Rhinolophus ferrumequinum: one gene and its partner. The protein of the gene in region 2 interacts with the protein of the main gene of each other region in a pairwise test. Links are inferred from orthologs where the notes say so. Each region holds a gene or a part of one and is shown on either strand. Other genes may lie near its edges. The genes, in order: SH3BP5 and SPTBN1.

What was found.
Region 1: the proteins of SPTBN1 (region 2) and SH3BP5 interact in a two-hybrid assay, tested with the Homo sapiens proteins (2 studies listed by BioGRID and IntAct). The link is inferred for Rhinolophus ferrumequinum from reciprocal best matches to the Homo sapiens genes SPTBN1 and SH3BP5.

The regions. Positions count from the first base shown.
Region 1 is NC_046300.1:31,251,472-31,258,984, forward strand, and holds the start of SH3BP5 (SH3 domain-binding protein 5), read left to right. Parts: upstream 1-4,333; 5' UTR 4,334-4,570; coding exon 4,571-4,708; intron 4,709-6,448; coding exon 6,449-6,511; intron 6,512-7,513. UniProt on the Homo sapiens protein: Functions as a guanine nucleotide exchange factor (GEF) with specificity for RAB11A and RAB25. Inhibits the auto- and transphosphorylation activity of BTK. Plays a negative regulatory role in BTK-related cytoplasmic signaling in B-cells.
Region 2 is NC_046296.1:33,099,872-33,107,839, reverse strand, and holds the start of SPTBN1 (spectrin beta chain, non-erythrocytic 1), read left to right. Parts: upstream 1-4,677; 5' UTR 4,678-4,876; intron 4,877-5,593; exon of another isoform or gene 5,594-5,613; intron 5,614-7,968. UniProt on the Homo sapiens protein: Fodrin, which seems to be involved in secretion, interacts with calmodulin in a calcium-dependent manner and is thus candidate for the calcium-dependent movement of the cytoskeleton at the membrane.

The DNA of each region.
Region 1 (7,513 bases), on a different chromosome or scaffold from region 2:
ACATATAGTGTATTTACTCCCAGTGTCCGGGTTTAAACAAACTGCAAGGAGGTAGTAAAAATAAATCGACAGAGAGTGTGGCTTCCAAGCAATGCAGTCCTCAAAGAAAGACTTTTTTTCTTGAGTGTGGTTTTCTAGGATCCATCAGCTCCAAGTGAAGGGGTTGTTTCAATCTAGTTGTGGAGGACGCAGCTCACCGTGGCTCATGTGGGGATTGAACTGGCAACCTTATTGTTAACGGCACCGCGCTCTAACCAACTGAGCTAACTGGCCACCCCAGTCCTCAAGATTTTTAAGATGTCAGCCATCTCCCCTCACTGCCCACACTGCACAAAGTGATCAGGCCCCTGCCGAGAAAGTGTGGCTTTGATACAGGTGTGCCCCTGCACTGCTGGGACCCACCCAAAGCCTGGCAGGCAGAGATGGCACTCAGAAACCACATCACAGACAAAGCACTTAAAAAGCTAACCGTTTCCTCCAAAGGAGCAACATTATAATTGGGTGATGAGTTCTTCATAGGAATTGACAAAATACAGATCCTAGGAAATAAACAAAGACATGATACATGAGTGGCACCTTATCTAACCATCTCTTCAATCATTTAAAATTGTTAAAGTCTTTTAAAATGGGCAATAATGTACTGTGCCTGTAATACTCCACCAGTGTCCAACAAGGGTCTTGGGTGGGGGTACACATCTTTTGAATGAAGGAGGAAGTGGAATATTGAAATACAAATAAAAAAGGATAACAAATTTAGAACACACAGGTCCTCTCAATCAGTCATTCTCAAATTTTTTGGTTCAAATACTCCTTTATATTTTTAAAAAATGATTGGAGATGTCTGAGAGCTGTTGTTTATGTGGTTATAACTACTGGTGTTACTGTATGGAATTTTTAAGACAACATTTTTTATTAATTCATCTAAAAATAATAAATCTGTTTGGTGTTAACATAAATGTATTTTTTATGAAAAATAACAAGTTTCTAAATTGAGAAATAGTTTTCAAAACAAAACAAAGAGTGAGAAGAGCACTGTTTTACATTTTTGCAAAACTCTTTAACGTGTGGCTTTGTAGAAGACAACTAGATTCTCATATCGTCTGCATTCAATCGGTTTTGATATCACGTGTCTGCTCCTGGAAAACTCCCATGCATACATACTTGTGAGAGAATGAGAGTGAAAAAGGCAAATATTCTGTTAGTATTAGCACGAAAGTAGTTTTGATCTCAAGGGCATCCTGAAAGGTCTTGGAGACCTCCAGGGGTGTCCAGCCCACACCGTTAGAACCACTGTTCCAGATTGATAGGCTAGCTAAAATAAATATCAAGCATTTGCTTGGCTTACGAAACATTTACATGGCTTGCCTTCTTGGTATGTGAAGCAGCAGAATTTATAAAATTGGCCCATTTCCTCCTCCCTGATGAACATGCTCTTGTATAATTTGGGGAATTTGTGAATATAATGGGAGAGTCACTGTGGGGACAGAGCCAGGAGTGCAGTTTCCAGGCTCTCGGCCTCATGTGGAAAGGTGCTGGCTCAGATAGTAAATGGCCATCAACTGTGATTGGATGGCCATCAGCTGTGGCTAGTTGGCCATCAGCTGTAACCAGTGAGCCATTGGCCACTAATATAACTGCTGTGGCTACGCTAATATAAATGGGGGCTAGCAAGACGATGGTGGCTGGCAAGCGCGGATTGCAGTTAGGACGGCAGGCTGCGGCCAGTGTGGCTCCTGCTTCCTGTGTCTCCAACCCAGCCGCCAGCAAGACTATAGTGGTATGACTCCCCTACCTATGGCTCCGTGGGTGTTCCTTTTTGGCCTCACCATGTCCTGCGTTCTTATGTGGGGAGCGGGACCAGAGACCCCGCATGCCACCCTGCACGACAGTCACTTCCATGATAATAGGTTATGTATATGGATGGCACAGTTGACTTTAAGAATGGGAGACTATTCTGGGTGGACCTAATCTAATCAAGTGAACTCTTAAAAGGGATGGGCTCTTCTTGAATAATAGATTGAAATGTGAGATTTCATGTAATTGAACACCAGCAAAATTCTCCGTTGCTGGCTTTGAAGGTGGAGGGGGTCATGTGGCAAGAAATGCAGGCAGCCTCCAGCATCTTAGACTGGCCCTTGGCTGGTCGTCAGCAAGGAAACAGGGACCTTGGTCCTACAACCACAAGGAACTGAATTCAGCCAATAACCTGAATGAGCATAAAAGGATTTCTCCTCAGAGCCTCCAGAAAGGAATGCAGCCTGGACACCCTGACATCCTCATTGAGCCTGAATACCCTGAGCAGAGAACCTAGTCATGCCGTACCTGAACTTCAGAACTACGGAACTGTGAGGTGATGAATGAGTATTGTTTTAAGCTGCTAAATTGGTGGTAATTTGTTATACAGCAACAGAAAACTAATTCAGTATGTATTATTTTAAATTTATTTTTAAATTACACAAATAATCATAAATACATCCTCCTTGTAAAGAATAAAAACATCATTGAGAGATTAAAGTTCCCTTTGCCTTCCCGATCCCCATCATAGCCAATGTTGAGCCCCTCTCTATCCCCTTTTCCCAGGGGTATAAATATCCCCTTTGCTGGGTATGAATCCTTCCACCAGACCTTTTTCTATGCATTTATATGCATATATATGTACCAACAGAAAATATACAGTACTGCTGTGGTTTATGTGTTTTTCTTATTTTAACTTTAGAACACTATTGGGATTAATGCTATAACTGGCCCAGGTCTCCTAAAAATAAAACAACAGAAGTCTAAATCGATGTTCTAGCACAGTTTCCCTATATACTGTGGAGGCATTTGAACCACTCTTGCTCTTAGATCTTAGCATAAATAAAAATATATTTTAGAGGTTGTTGTTGAAGATGGGGGTCCACCAGCTGACAAGCATTTAGAGTCAGGGCTGACTTCGTTTCTGGTTTTTGACCTCTCTCGCTCAGGTTATTCACAGCTAGGTTAGGAAGAACCTGCTCAATTATGGGCTCAAATCCAAGCCACCAGGGAAACATTGGTGGCTCATGTGTCCCAAAGTTCCCCTTAATGGCCATCTTGTCCCTGCCTTTATCCACCACTGGAAAATCAGGGAACTTCGGAAGATTTTTTTGAAGAATTGCTGAGTCTCTCTTGATTTAAAGAACAACGAATAGGTGTGATCTTTTCAGAAACAAATCTATGGCACACACCTATATTACTTACCTTTAGGAGACAGGATGAAATCTCCTTTGACAGTGGACCACAGCGCCAGTGTGGATAGGGTGGTACCTTGCCCAAGGAATAACACCCCAATTTAGCTTCTGATGAAACTGTCAGAAGCAAGTTTTCCAAGGTGGCTTTAATGATAGGCTCTCAGAAAGAAGCTCTTTCTTCAAGCAAGTTTGTCCTCCATACTCAGAGCAGATGGGCCACAGCCTCTATATAGAAAGTGTACACATTCTGCATTTTGTAATGATGGAGACATTAGCAGTGGCCAGTGGCAATGTCCTTTCTGCTTTGCTAAGGTCACCTCACCTTGTGCTCCCCTGACATCACAGTAGCCCTGACATTTTATAACAGCACAGACATGCTGTTCTTTGGCCTTTTGTGATGTTGAGTTTGCCAGGAAAGCTCTGGCTGCCCACTTGTTCTGGGTGGGCAGGAAACCTCACCAGTTCAGAAATCCTTGGAGGGAACGTGCCCATTCACAGGACTTACACTTACCACCTCCTTGAAAAGGCTGTGCCCACCCACCCACACCTCTGATCCATGGATTTTCCATACCTCCTAGCTATTCAGGTAGGACCATCCCACAACTGCCCAAGTGTTTGGTATGGAACTCTGCTCAGTGGGATTCCTTTGGAAAAGTGATCCATGCATGGAGCTGCAGCTGGTTCTCCTCTGTACTTTTGTGTCTATGTGAGCATACGTTTCTGTTCCCTTTTCCGAGGAAATCTTCAAGGGAATACAATTCCCAAGGTTCACCCAAGGGGAGAAACGTGCTTTGGGCAGTTACAGACAGGGGTTTGAGTGAGTCTTGAAATTGGTTCACGGCCACTGAGTACAGGCTTCTAAAGGTGACTTCAGAGAATGGAAATACCCCAAACTTTCCTTCCATATAGTCAATTTGCCTTAGATGAGGAAGGAGGGAGAACAGTGCCCCAAAAGTAGGCGGCCAACATTGGGTACTTTGTGATATATTCGGTCTGTTAAGTTAAAATGGGGGTGAGGGCCCTCCTATTTCGCCACGCTAGAGGTTTTTAGAGAGTTGGGTTTTTGTGACGAGACCTGGGTTTTGGGGACCGGCGGAGGAGTGAGAGTCAGAGCAGCAAGGAGGGTGGCCCCGGCGGGACGAGGGCGGAGCGGGCGCCGCTGCGCTGACGGCCGCGGCAGAAAGGGGGCGGCCGCTCCCATTTCCTCCTCTCCGCCTCGGCCGGAGCGGCTCCCTGGTGTCGGCTGCGGCTCCCAGACCGTGCCGAGCTGAGACCGGCGGGCTCCGGCCGAGCCTGCGGCGGCCGCCCACCCTCCCAAACGTCCCGAAGCCCGCTGCGCTGTTCGCGATCCGGCTGCGGGTATGGACGCGGCGCTGAAGCGGAGCCGCTCGGAGGAGCCGGCTGAGCTCCTGCAGTCGGCCCGGGACTTGGAGGAAGAGGAGGAAGAGGGGATGGAGCAGGAGCTGGAGGAGGAAGAAGAGGTGGATCCCCGGATTCAGGTAGGACGCGCGGAGGGCGCCCCGGATCCCCGCTTGGCGAGGGCCGCCGCGGAGATCGGCATCCAGTGCCTGCGCTCCGGGGTGGGGGTGCTGGCGACGTAGGTCCGGGGGCAAGAAGAGAGAGGCTGAATACTGTTTCACTGGGTTCATCGGGAGGCTGCAGTGCCCTCATGGATGCGGCCTGAATATGTTACCGGGATCCCCCCGCAGACCGCGGCAGAATCAGGGGATCGCTGCAGCGTGCCCAGCGGTTGGGCGGATGTGCAACAAAGGGAAAAAGGGGGCGGGGGCGCCACGCGGGTATCCCGGGTATCCCGGCCAGGCTCGCCACACCGCTGGCATTGCACGGCCTCCTGGCCCTGGAAGGAGGGGTCGGCTGCCGGGTGGGCGTTGTCCGCCCCTGCAGCGTGGGCTGGCACTGGTGCCCTGGGTTCTGAGTCCTCACCTGGTGGAGGTGCCCGGCTTGAGCCATCTTTCCTCTCCTTTGATTGTAACCAAACTGAAGGGTTTTTTTTTTTCTCCTTTTTTCTTTTTGTCACTACTGATTCAACCCTCCACTTGGCCTCAAATGATTTAAAACCTAGCTTTTCCTTTTTTGAGGTCGGGTGTGAACAGAAATCAGGAACAACTGATGCGCAAAGCTGACACGGGGAGAAGGCGAGGGGATTGGCCTGGACCTCTGCACCTCCATTTGTAAGGGAGATGATTAAAAAACAATTTCCAAGCCAAGATCTAGGGTTGACCGCTTAACCTTTTCACCCTCTAAGCAAAAAGCAGAAGTCCAAGACTCGTTTTTCCTACCTTCCCATAAATCATGCACACACACACACACACACACACACGTGTGTCTCTCTCTCTCTGTGTGTGTACACAATATATATTGCTTTTAAGTATGCTTTCAATTCCTGGAACCCGCCCTAATTGGTTTTTCAGTGCACAGATCAATTAAAAGCTCATTTAATTCAGCTGTTGCAGTTTAAATGAATTGTTTTGGCAGATTGGCAAGGTAAAGATCAGGTGGAAAAAAATCTTTGTATCAGAAATTTTATTAATTAAATTAATCAGTTTGGACTAGTATCTTGTTTTGTTGGTACAGGAATTCTGTTAACAAGATCCTTTGTTTGCAGAGTAAAATGAGTTGACTTCATGATGGGTGCTTTTTATAAAATTTTAGTTTGTAAATGTTTATTTAAAGGTAGTTTTTTTTAAAGCTAATGTTTTTGTTTGTTTTTTTAAAAACACCTAGGGAGATTGAATAATTGGCAGTTTGAAAAGATTTTCATCTCTCTACAAAAATACTCAACCACCAATGAGTTAATGCCAGTGTTCTGCCCTCGATTTAAATCATTTCACTAGGTTTATACTTTTGGCTTGGCTTTGTTTCTTTTCTTTTCTGCAAAGTTCTTGCTGTAAGGCAGAAGGTACTATTTTGATATCAGCCCTTAAATGATTTGTAACAGGTGGGTTTACCTGAAGGCACAAACCTGGAATAAATATTTAACCTCCTAAGAAAATCCCTATGACCGTATGACATTTTCAAAAGGGACACCATCAAGCAAAGGTTTCAGAAATGCTGACATTCATTTCTCTTCTAGCCAAGGCTCAACTATTTTTCTTGAGAATACTGACACTTCCTTCTTCCCAAATTGTGCTGGAGTAGTTTTGCAGGTCATGGGCTGAGTCACTTGGAAACAAAAGACAAATCCCTTAAATCTTTTTTCTGCCTCTTTTCTTTGTTAGGGAGAACTGGAGAAGTTAAATCAATCCACGGATGACATCAACAGACGGGAGACTGAACTTGAGGTACTGAAGGCCAGGTTCCTGTTCTTGGTGAACTGGTGTCTGTCCTGCTAACACCAGAATGGTTAATTTTGTTTTAATAGTTGGAGGGTGATTGCTGGTGTCCCCTCCTCCAGTTGAGCAACAGCCTGCTGTCTGACAGAATAAACTATACGGCTGAGCCCAGCTTGTGGGTGGAACACATGTGGATCCAATTTCACATGTTGTTTTTTTATTATGGAAGCTCTGTGGGGCCAAAACCAAGGGCTTTACACATGCCTAAGCCCTGAAGTTAATGTGTCTGTGGAAAAGCTAAAAGAACTAAGGTGAAAATGAGCTGAACTCTTTAATGGAGAAGAATACATGAGGTCACAAAATCTCTTTAATATTTTAGGGCAGTTCCTCATATTGTACTTGGAAACATTGTGTGTTTGCTCAGACTTAAAACCTTTTTTTTTTTTTTGACTCTCCTGCTCTAATAATTCACCCCCTTCTACTTCCCTGCTCATTTCTTTATTGTCTGCTTGTGTGTAGAATATAATTATTTTAATGGTAAGCAAAAGCTGTTTAGACGGAAGGGCTTTCCTGCTGGGAAGAATCTTGGGAGACAAAAGTTGATTTGAATTTCAGGGGCATCTTCCAATCTGTGTAAACAGATTAGTATTCTTCACAGCTACCAATTAGTCCCCATTCCTTTTCAGTAGTGGTTGGTTTTACCATCAATCAGCAAATTTGAATATCCTCCGCATATATCTGAGAGCCTGTGAATGACTGTCAGAGAGCTGAAGGAATGCAGGGAGCTGTTGGGAGGACCTGTTTCTGTAGCAGGAGAAATAGCAGGGAAGGTCAGTGGAAAAGGCAGGAAACATCTGGTCCCAAAGAGTGAGGATGCAGGAGATAGAAATGTAACCTACCAGCAATACACTGGCAACCTTGATTTCTGACTGCATGCCATGCAGAGGCTTCGGGGGGTACCAAATCTGGATGTGGCAGTGGGGATTAAAACCTTGTTTTCTGAGCTTTGTG
Region 2 (7,968 bases):
GCTAAGTATACTACAATAAGTATACAATGAACTGATATACTACAGTATGTATCAGTGCTTAATTCCTTTTATGGCTGAATAGTGTTCCATTATATGGATATACCACATTTTGGTTATCAATTTATCCATTGATGGATATCTGAGTTGTTTCCACCTTTTGGCTATTGTGAATTGTCCTACTACGAACATTCATGTACAAGTGTTTGAGTACCTGTATCAATTCCTTTGGGCATATAGCTATGAGTGGAATTGCTGGCTCATATGATAATTCTATGTTTAACTTTTTGAGGAACTGCCAAACTATTTTCCATAGCAGCTGCACCACTTTACATTCCCACCAGCAAGTATGAGCCTTCAAATTCCTCCACATTCTACCCGATACTTGTTATTTTCTGTATTCTCCCTAGGTTTACTGAGCTATAATTGACATAGAGCAGTGTATAAATGTAAGGTGTACAGCATAATTATTTGACTTGTGTATATTGTGAAATGATTAATGCAGTAAGTTTAATCAATACCCATCATAGCATATAAATACAAAAGAAAAAGAAAAAAGCTTTTTTTTCCTTGTGATGAGAACTCGGGATTTACTCTTAACATCTTTCATATATATCTTACAGAAGTGCTAACTATTGTCATCATGTTGTACATTACATCCCTAGGATTTATGTATCTTGTAACTGGAAATCTGTACCTTTTGACCACCTTTATCCAAATCCCTACCCCACCGCCCATCTGATCTCTTCCATTTAAAAAAAAAATTGAACCTATCCTAGTGGGTATAAAGTGGTATCTCACAGTGGTTTTGATTTGCATTTCCCTAAAGACTAGTGATATTGAACATATTTTTATGGGCTTGTTGTCCATTTGTATATCCTCTTTGGAGAAAATTCTATTCAACTCCATTTTTGTTGAGTTGTAAGAGTTCTTTATGTATTCTGAATATTAGACCCTTATTAGATGTATGATTTGCAAATATTTTCTCCTATTCTGTTGTCTTTTCACTTTCTTGATAATGTCCTTTGATACACAAAAGTTTTAAATTTTGATGGCGTCCAGTTTGTCTATTTTTGTTGTTGTTGTTGTTGTCATGCTTTTGGTGTCATATCTATCAATTCATTGCCTAACTTTTGAAGCACATTTCAAAAGAAAACAAAATGATAGGTTTATATCTGGAAAAAGACATACTTAGATGTTTTATTTTACTTGAAATTTACATTCACCTGCTAATTGGTTGATAAAGTGTTTATATATGTTTACTGAAAGTCCACTTCTTTTTTGCATAAGCCAAAGCTGATACACATTTTTGTTTTCTTTTAAGTTGATTTAGAACTTAGGGACACTTGCAAAGCATCCTGAACTGAATATTTTAAGGTTTTTATGATATCTATCCCTCCCTACTTTTTTATTGTTATCTTGACCACATATATTTTGATGGCAGTATTTTTAGCCTTTATCAGACAATTCAAAAATAAGCAACTTAGTTTTCACTAAAGAGCTCTCTTTTCACACTCATATTTAATTGGTTCATGTAATATTTAATTATAATAAGTGTACTTATTAAGTATAATAAGCATAACTAGCATAAACAAATTTGGGAACAAACAAAACTGACTTGGTAAATACACAGCACAACTGGAGGGAGCTGAAATATACAGTTGCAGCCGACTAGCAGAGTGTGTTTTGTGTCCATGGACATTGGTCAATATGCTTACCACACAGAGTGAACAGTGTAATCCAACAAATGGGTTAAATGAAGGAGCATTAAGAGTGCATCTGCTCTACTATTCTAGGAGTCTAAATTCAGAATTACTTGAAAAGAATTTTTTTAAACGTCGTGATATATACATAGCATAAAATTCACCATTTTAATTATTTTAAGTGTACAGTTTAATAGCATTAAGTACATTCACATTGTTGTGCAACCATCCCCACCATCCACCTCCAGAACTTTTCTCATCTTGTAAACAGAATTACTTTTTAATTATTAACATACAATGTCCAGACACACAGCTCTTATATGCTAGCTTCTATGCAGATATCTCAGACATTTAGTAGCTATGTAAAGACACTTAGTACTGGTGTCTCAGTTTTCTCATCTATAAAATGGAGTTAGTATGTACCCCAAAGAACTGACAAAAGGACAAAATGATATATGTGCTAAAAGACTTTAAAAACTAGAAAGAATTTTATAGTTGCTACTTATGATTATTATTATTGTTCACAAATTTTGAAGGTCCTTTATAACCACAAAAATGTTGTAATAAGTACTATTTCTATGGGAGACAAAGCCATATACAATCACATGGTTTTAAAAATGGAGACTAGAGTGTTACAGACATGCTATCAATGAGTTCTCTCTTAACGATGAGTTCTAGGTTCCTTTAAATCAACCTTAATTCTATTGTGACGATAATAAACTTCAGCAAAGCTGCTTTGGAGATATTTGAGAACACTCCTTTTTGTTACCATCATTACCGACTGAGGCTTTTTGTCTTTTCTAGATTCTGCTCTTCCACAGAAGCATATGTCTTCTCCAATAATCTCTCCAGATTTAGACTGTCTTTTCTTTGATCTGCTACTTTCTTTTTGTTCAGTGTACACTGTGCTTTCCTGGGTGATGATTTTTTTCCACCGAAAGGTAAGAATTTGAAACCGTGAGCAGGTACTTATAGTGAAACTCTGAATCCTTGTTTTTTACATTTTTGGAATACTTACTGCCTCTTTACTAGAGTACCTAGCTAAGGTTGTATGTGGTCTCACTTTTTGAAGGAAATTTTTAAAAAGTAAGTGGTAGTGGAATGAGGGGAGATGACTCATCCACCAAATTGAGATTTATTCAAGTACTGTTATCTGTGATAAAGGAAGCAGTTAAGAGTCACCATTTCAGAATAGTATTGGAAGAATTTAAACTGAGGCATTTCCCAGTACTGCCATTGTTCTCTTTGCTATTTCATTAACATTGTGGGTGGGGACGTGCTGGGGGCTATGCCCAAAATAAGTGAAAGGGAAACAACTTTCATTCCTAGTGGATTTCCAGTGTTGCCTAATATGGGCAGCGCTTACCTGTTGATTCTGTTCAATTCAACAAAAAATTTTTGAGCACCTCTGAAGTGCCTGCTATGTACAGTGAACACAGAACCCTGCTCTTGGAGAGCTCACCTTTCAGCTGTGTTAATAACCTTCTGAGAAAAATGTTAAATTATTTGCCTTCCTCAATTATTTATATATCTATATCTCAAATGTAAACATTGTACAAACATTCAAACTGATGGTGAAGGCCTAAAAGGAAGAATCATCTTCATGAATTGCTGGGGACAATTTCATTTAGTTTTATTTAAAAATATTAATTTAAAAATACATACAAAAATATAAACGCATCAAGCTTCAGTTCTATTGATGCGAGATATAAGCATGATCCAAACTATTTGTCTGTCTTTTATTTCTCTTTTTTATTCAGGGGTTGAGGGTTAGGTCTTTAGGGGAAAAGCCTTGGGGCTTTTGCAACCAAGAAGGGCCTCTTCCACAGAAGCTTACAGTGGGCACCGTTGGGCACCTACAGAGCAGGCAGAAAATCAGTTTCTCCAGATTGCTTTCTAGAGTTTCTAGTCTTGGTCATAGTGATGCACCGTTTTTTCCTCTCAAAAGTGCTGGTTCCATAATTTCTACATAGCCTGGGGGATTGACAGGGTTGGCCAGCTGGTTGAGAAGGGGCGAACGTCCGGTGTCCATCTCAGGATATGTGGAGAGGGGGAGAACTCAAGTCCTCAAGCCATCGCGGGGCCTTCACTGCAGCCGGGACGTCCTTACTCTCGAGCAGTGTCTCGGGAAGAGCACCCACTTCAGGTGAAAGTGAGCCAGCGTTTGGGTCAGAGGCAGGAGTTGGACGAACCACTTGTAGTGTATGTTCCCAGCTACCCAGAGGGAAAGGGTGGAAAAGCTCACAAAGGAGAAAGAGCTTGACTTTGCCGAGGAACAACCCTCCTCCCCCCATCGTCCAAGGTTTCCCACGGAGAGGTCACCATCGCTCTTTATTAGGCTGGGTGGAACCTACAAGGCACCACCACCTAGATCTGAAACCAAACCAACCAAACGACGTTCTAAAACCTCCCTCAACCCTCTCCGTAGCGTTCCAAACGCAACGTCGCGGGTGAAAAGCGGCTGCACAAGTCACGTAGATAATTAGGCTGCCCCTTTCCATGGCGATAATCGAATTAGCCTCAAATTAAACGTGAAATTGGCCCTCGCCAGCTGTGGGGACAAAGTCCCTATTGTCCCTTTGCCTGGGTAGTGGCAGCGGCGATGCCCACTGTGACCAGGCTCTCCCTGGCCAGTCTCGGCTACAAGGAACGAGGTCGGCGCTGGGCCCCGGCAGAGCTTCAGCTGGGGAGAGCGTGAACGCGCCCGAGGTTCGGCTCGCGCGTGGAGCAGGCGCCGGATGGGCGGCTGCGGGGCTCCGGACAGGCACTGAGGGCCCGGGAGAGGGAGGAACCGAGGAAGGAAGGAGGGTGTGCGGGAGAGAGCTGTGCGCGCGCGTGTGCACGCTCCCGGCGCCGGCGCGCTCCCTCTCCCCGCCCCTCGCCCCCTCCTTGCCTGCTCCCTCCCCTCCTTCCCCCGCCCCGCGCTCCAGCCCAGCCCCCGGAATCAGTGCAGCTGTTACCGTGCAGGCTGCGGATTCCTCCAGTCCCTCCCTCGGCCGCCTCTCCACCCGGAGCGAGCGCGCAGCCCCGCGCAGCAGCGCCCACCGGTCCCGTCCTGTGAGCCCCGGCCCCAGCCGCAGACAGCCCCGCGGAGTCGCCTCCCGGCCCACCCGCCCGGCCGCCGAGGAGCGGGAGGAGGACGGGACCCCGACGCCCCCACCCCTTATCCGCGGGAGGTAGGTGAGGGGCCTGAGGCTGGAACATGCCAACTCACTGGGGCTGCCACCCGGACGGGCTCCTGGGCGGCAGGCGGGCGGGAGGAGGGGCGCGGGCCCAGTCCGGCGGACGCCGCTGCCCGGCTCCCCACGGAGCGGCGTGGGGGCGGGGAGGCTGCAGAGCCAGGGCGGGGGCGGCACCAGGAGCCTGGGTCTCCAGTGCTTATTAGTGCTCGAGTTTTGCGGGGCAGGGACGGCAGGCCCCGCAGTGAAGCGGCCGCAGTGAGGCGGCCGCAGATCCTCGGTGCGCACCGCGGCCGCCCAGCCCCATCCCCGGCGCAGTGGCGCCTATTTCTCCTCCCTATCTTCGCCGCCGTGTCCCTTCATCTGGGCGCAGCGGCCTCTGGCGCGGGGGTGGGTGCACAGTGGGCAGCAGCGAGGGTATATTTTCGGGTGCCCTCCTGCTAGTCAGGCTGGTGGGGGAGCCGGGGCGGCATTGACAGGGCCCGGCTCTGCGCTTAACGGTACGGAAGATGCGGCCAGGCGTGGTCCCGGCTGCGCCGCGCTGCAGCTGAGCGGGAGGCGGCGGCCCGGTGCCCCCTCCCACCCATCCTAGTGTCCGCTCGCGGATCCGCGCCCGCTCCCCCCCCCCCGCCCTCCTGCTGTACCCACTCTCCCAGGGCTGGGCGTGAGCCGCCTGCGGGCGCGGAGCCGCCGCTGCGCCCGCCCTTCAGCTCCTGCCACCCTTTCTTCAACAGGTTTGTACCAGCGCGGAGACCCTCCCGGCCTGCCTTTGGGGTGGTGGGTTGGAAGCCCCTCTCCTTATCACCCCTTACACCACGCCCGCGGCCCTCTTTTTGAGGGGAGCCTTCCCTTTGTTTTTGTGATAGGAAAGATGCCAAATGCTATCAGATGGGGTGGGGAAGTGTTGCAGGGATCGGTACACAAACCGTGTCCATTATTTTTCCAATCAAAAGCCAGGCCACATAGTAAGTGAGGAGAAGGCAAGTGTAGGGCGCTGCCGAGGAGGAGAAAATGGATTCGGTGGGTTTGTTTGGGTGGGGATGTGCTTTTTTGGCAAGATGGATGGCTCACGGTGCCCTCGCCGTGATGCAGCACAATGCAGCAGTATCGCAGCCTCCCCGGGTTCTCGCTGGCGGGGCTTGGCACGGCCACTGGGCGCCTGCGGCCCCCACCCGGCCCCACCCAGGCCCGGGGTTGCCCTTGGCAGAGGCTGGGAACAGCATCTACCTTGTCTTGCTGTTTCAGCGGGATGTGGTGTCAGGAGGACCAGGTCACCTAGCTGTGAGGGTGGACTCTTCTTTTTGGGGTGACCCCCTCCCGCCCCGCCTTTTGGGCTGTATCCGATGAAGGGGCTTCCTGCGGCGCTAATGCGGGTAGAGGGAGCTGGCCTGCGGCTGCGGATCGGAATCTGATCTCGGACTAAGGGACCTGAGCTGTAGGGAGGGGCTGCAGGGAGGACGCGCGGCCCAGCGGTGTGCGGAGGCGCTGGTGCAGTCAGCATTGGGAGTCGCAGCGGTTTTTTGTGGATCACTCATAATTTGTGACTACAACCCAATTATCCATCGATTTCTTCCTGTATGAAAAGTTTGTGTTTATTGGAGCATCGTAACTATTACATTGCAGTACCTCTGTCTTTGGTCAATAATAAGAATATGAATTTTTCCTAGAGAAAACTATTTTTTGAAATAAAACGGTTACTGTTTTAGTTCATGTCTCCCTGAGACATTTCTAAAAATACTCACATTGAATAGGTTTTTAAAAGGAACTTAATATATTTTTTGATGTGTAGTAAATGATTAACCTGTATTGGCATTGCTTTCATCGTTTGCGTTTTCTGTAAATCAAATTACACATTTGGATGCTTTATTAGGGATTATTAGATAAATGAGTGAATTGTTACTCAGATTTTTATCGATTTAGATAGCCAAGTTCGTTGTGACTAATGGGATTGTGATGGTAACTGACTTCATTTGTGTTTGTTTATATGTATTTTTATACATATTTTTTGCAGATGTCGTTGGGGAGGGAGTTGAGAAGTGCAGACCACCGAGGCCTGTGTGGCTGGTATCTGGTCAGAAGGAGACGGTTGCCAGTGTTCTCATCTGTTTAGTCTGGGCTAATACACAGGGAATTTCCCATCTAAATGCCACTTCTACAATTCATTTATTCATTGTGGGATGGCAAATGGAATACATTTCAAATGTCACCCAGATTCTTCTAAAATGTTTAAGGGAAAAAGGGAATTTCAGTATGCTAACTAACCGGAAGAGAAGGTCAGTATTTCAAAGCAAGGGTGTGTCTACTTTTATTTTTTAAATCTCTCATGAATTCAAGTTGGTGGCATTTGATTTCACGTGGCTCTGCAGAGTAGAACTGAATGCAGATTGTGTGGTTTATGTGCATTATTTTGAGTTTCTCTTAAAAGAAGGCCATTAAAAATACAGAACTTTTTGGATTTTGGCTTCATCGGTGTCTGCTTGTATAAAATCGTGTTGCATAAAGATGTTTGGGAGTATTGTTCCCATGATTATTCAGACATTTTGGATTTACTGTGTTGTAAGAAAATATCCTGTGTTGATGTCACAGGAGGTTTAGCTGTTCTGACTTACACACCAGGTGCAGAATTCTGTTAGGTTAAGTAAGCTCTTTGTAACTGTTCTCTCTGGACTGACCTAAACCTTCATCTGAAAGTAGGAGAAGTATTGGGGCACTGAAGAAACTGTGGTCACTAGGTCTTCTCTGTTGTGCAGGGTTTCTGAAGCGGTCTCTTGGGCGAGAATACCTAGTAACAAATGTCTGTGATGTTGCAGGAGCAAGTGAGAAGATCTCACTCTCTACTTGTGACACATCCTTAGCAGAGACTTGACATTGGCAGTTTCGTTGGAAGAGTTTGTTGGAGTAGTTATTTTGTCTTGCTACTACGTATATGAAAGTATGACTTTACATGTGGAAGTACTATTTTGAGATGGAAGGATTTTATTACTAGTAAACAAACATAGACATGATGAGTGGAAATTATTTGATGTGGTTTTTGTTGAAATATGCTTTTCATTTTAAGAGCATATTCTTAGAGAGAATTTTAAAGGCCA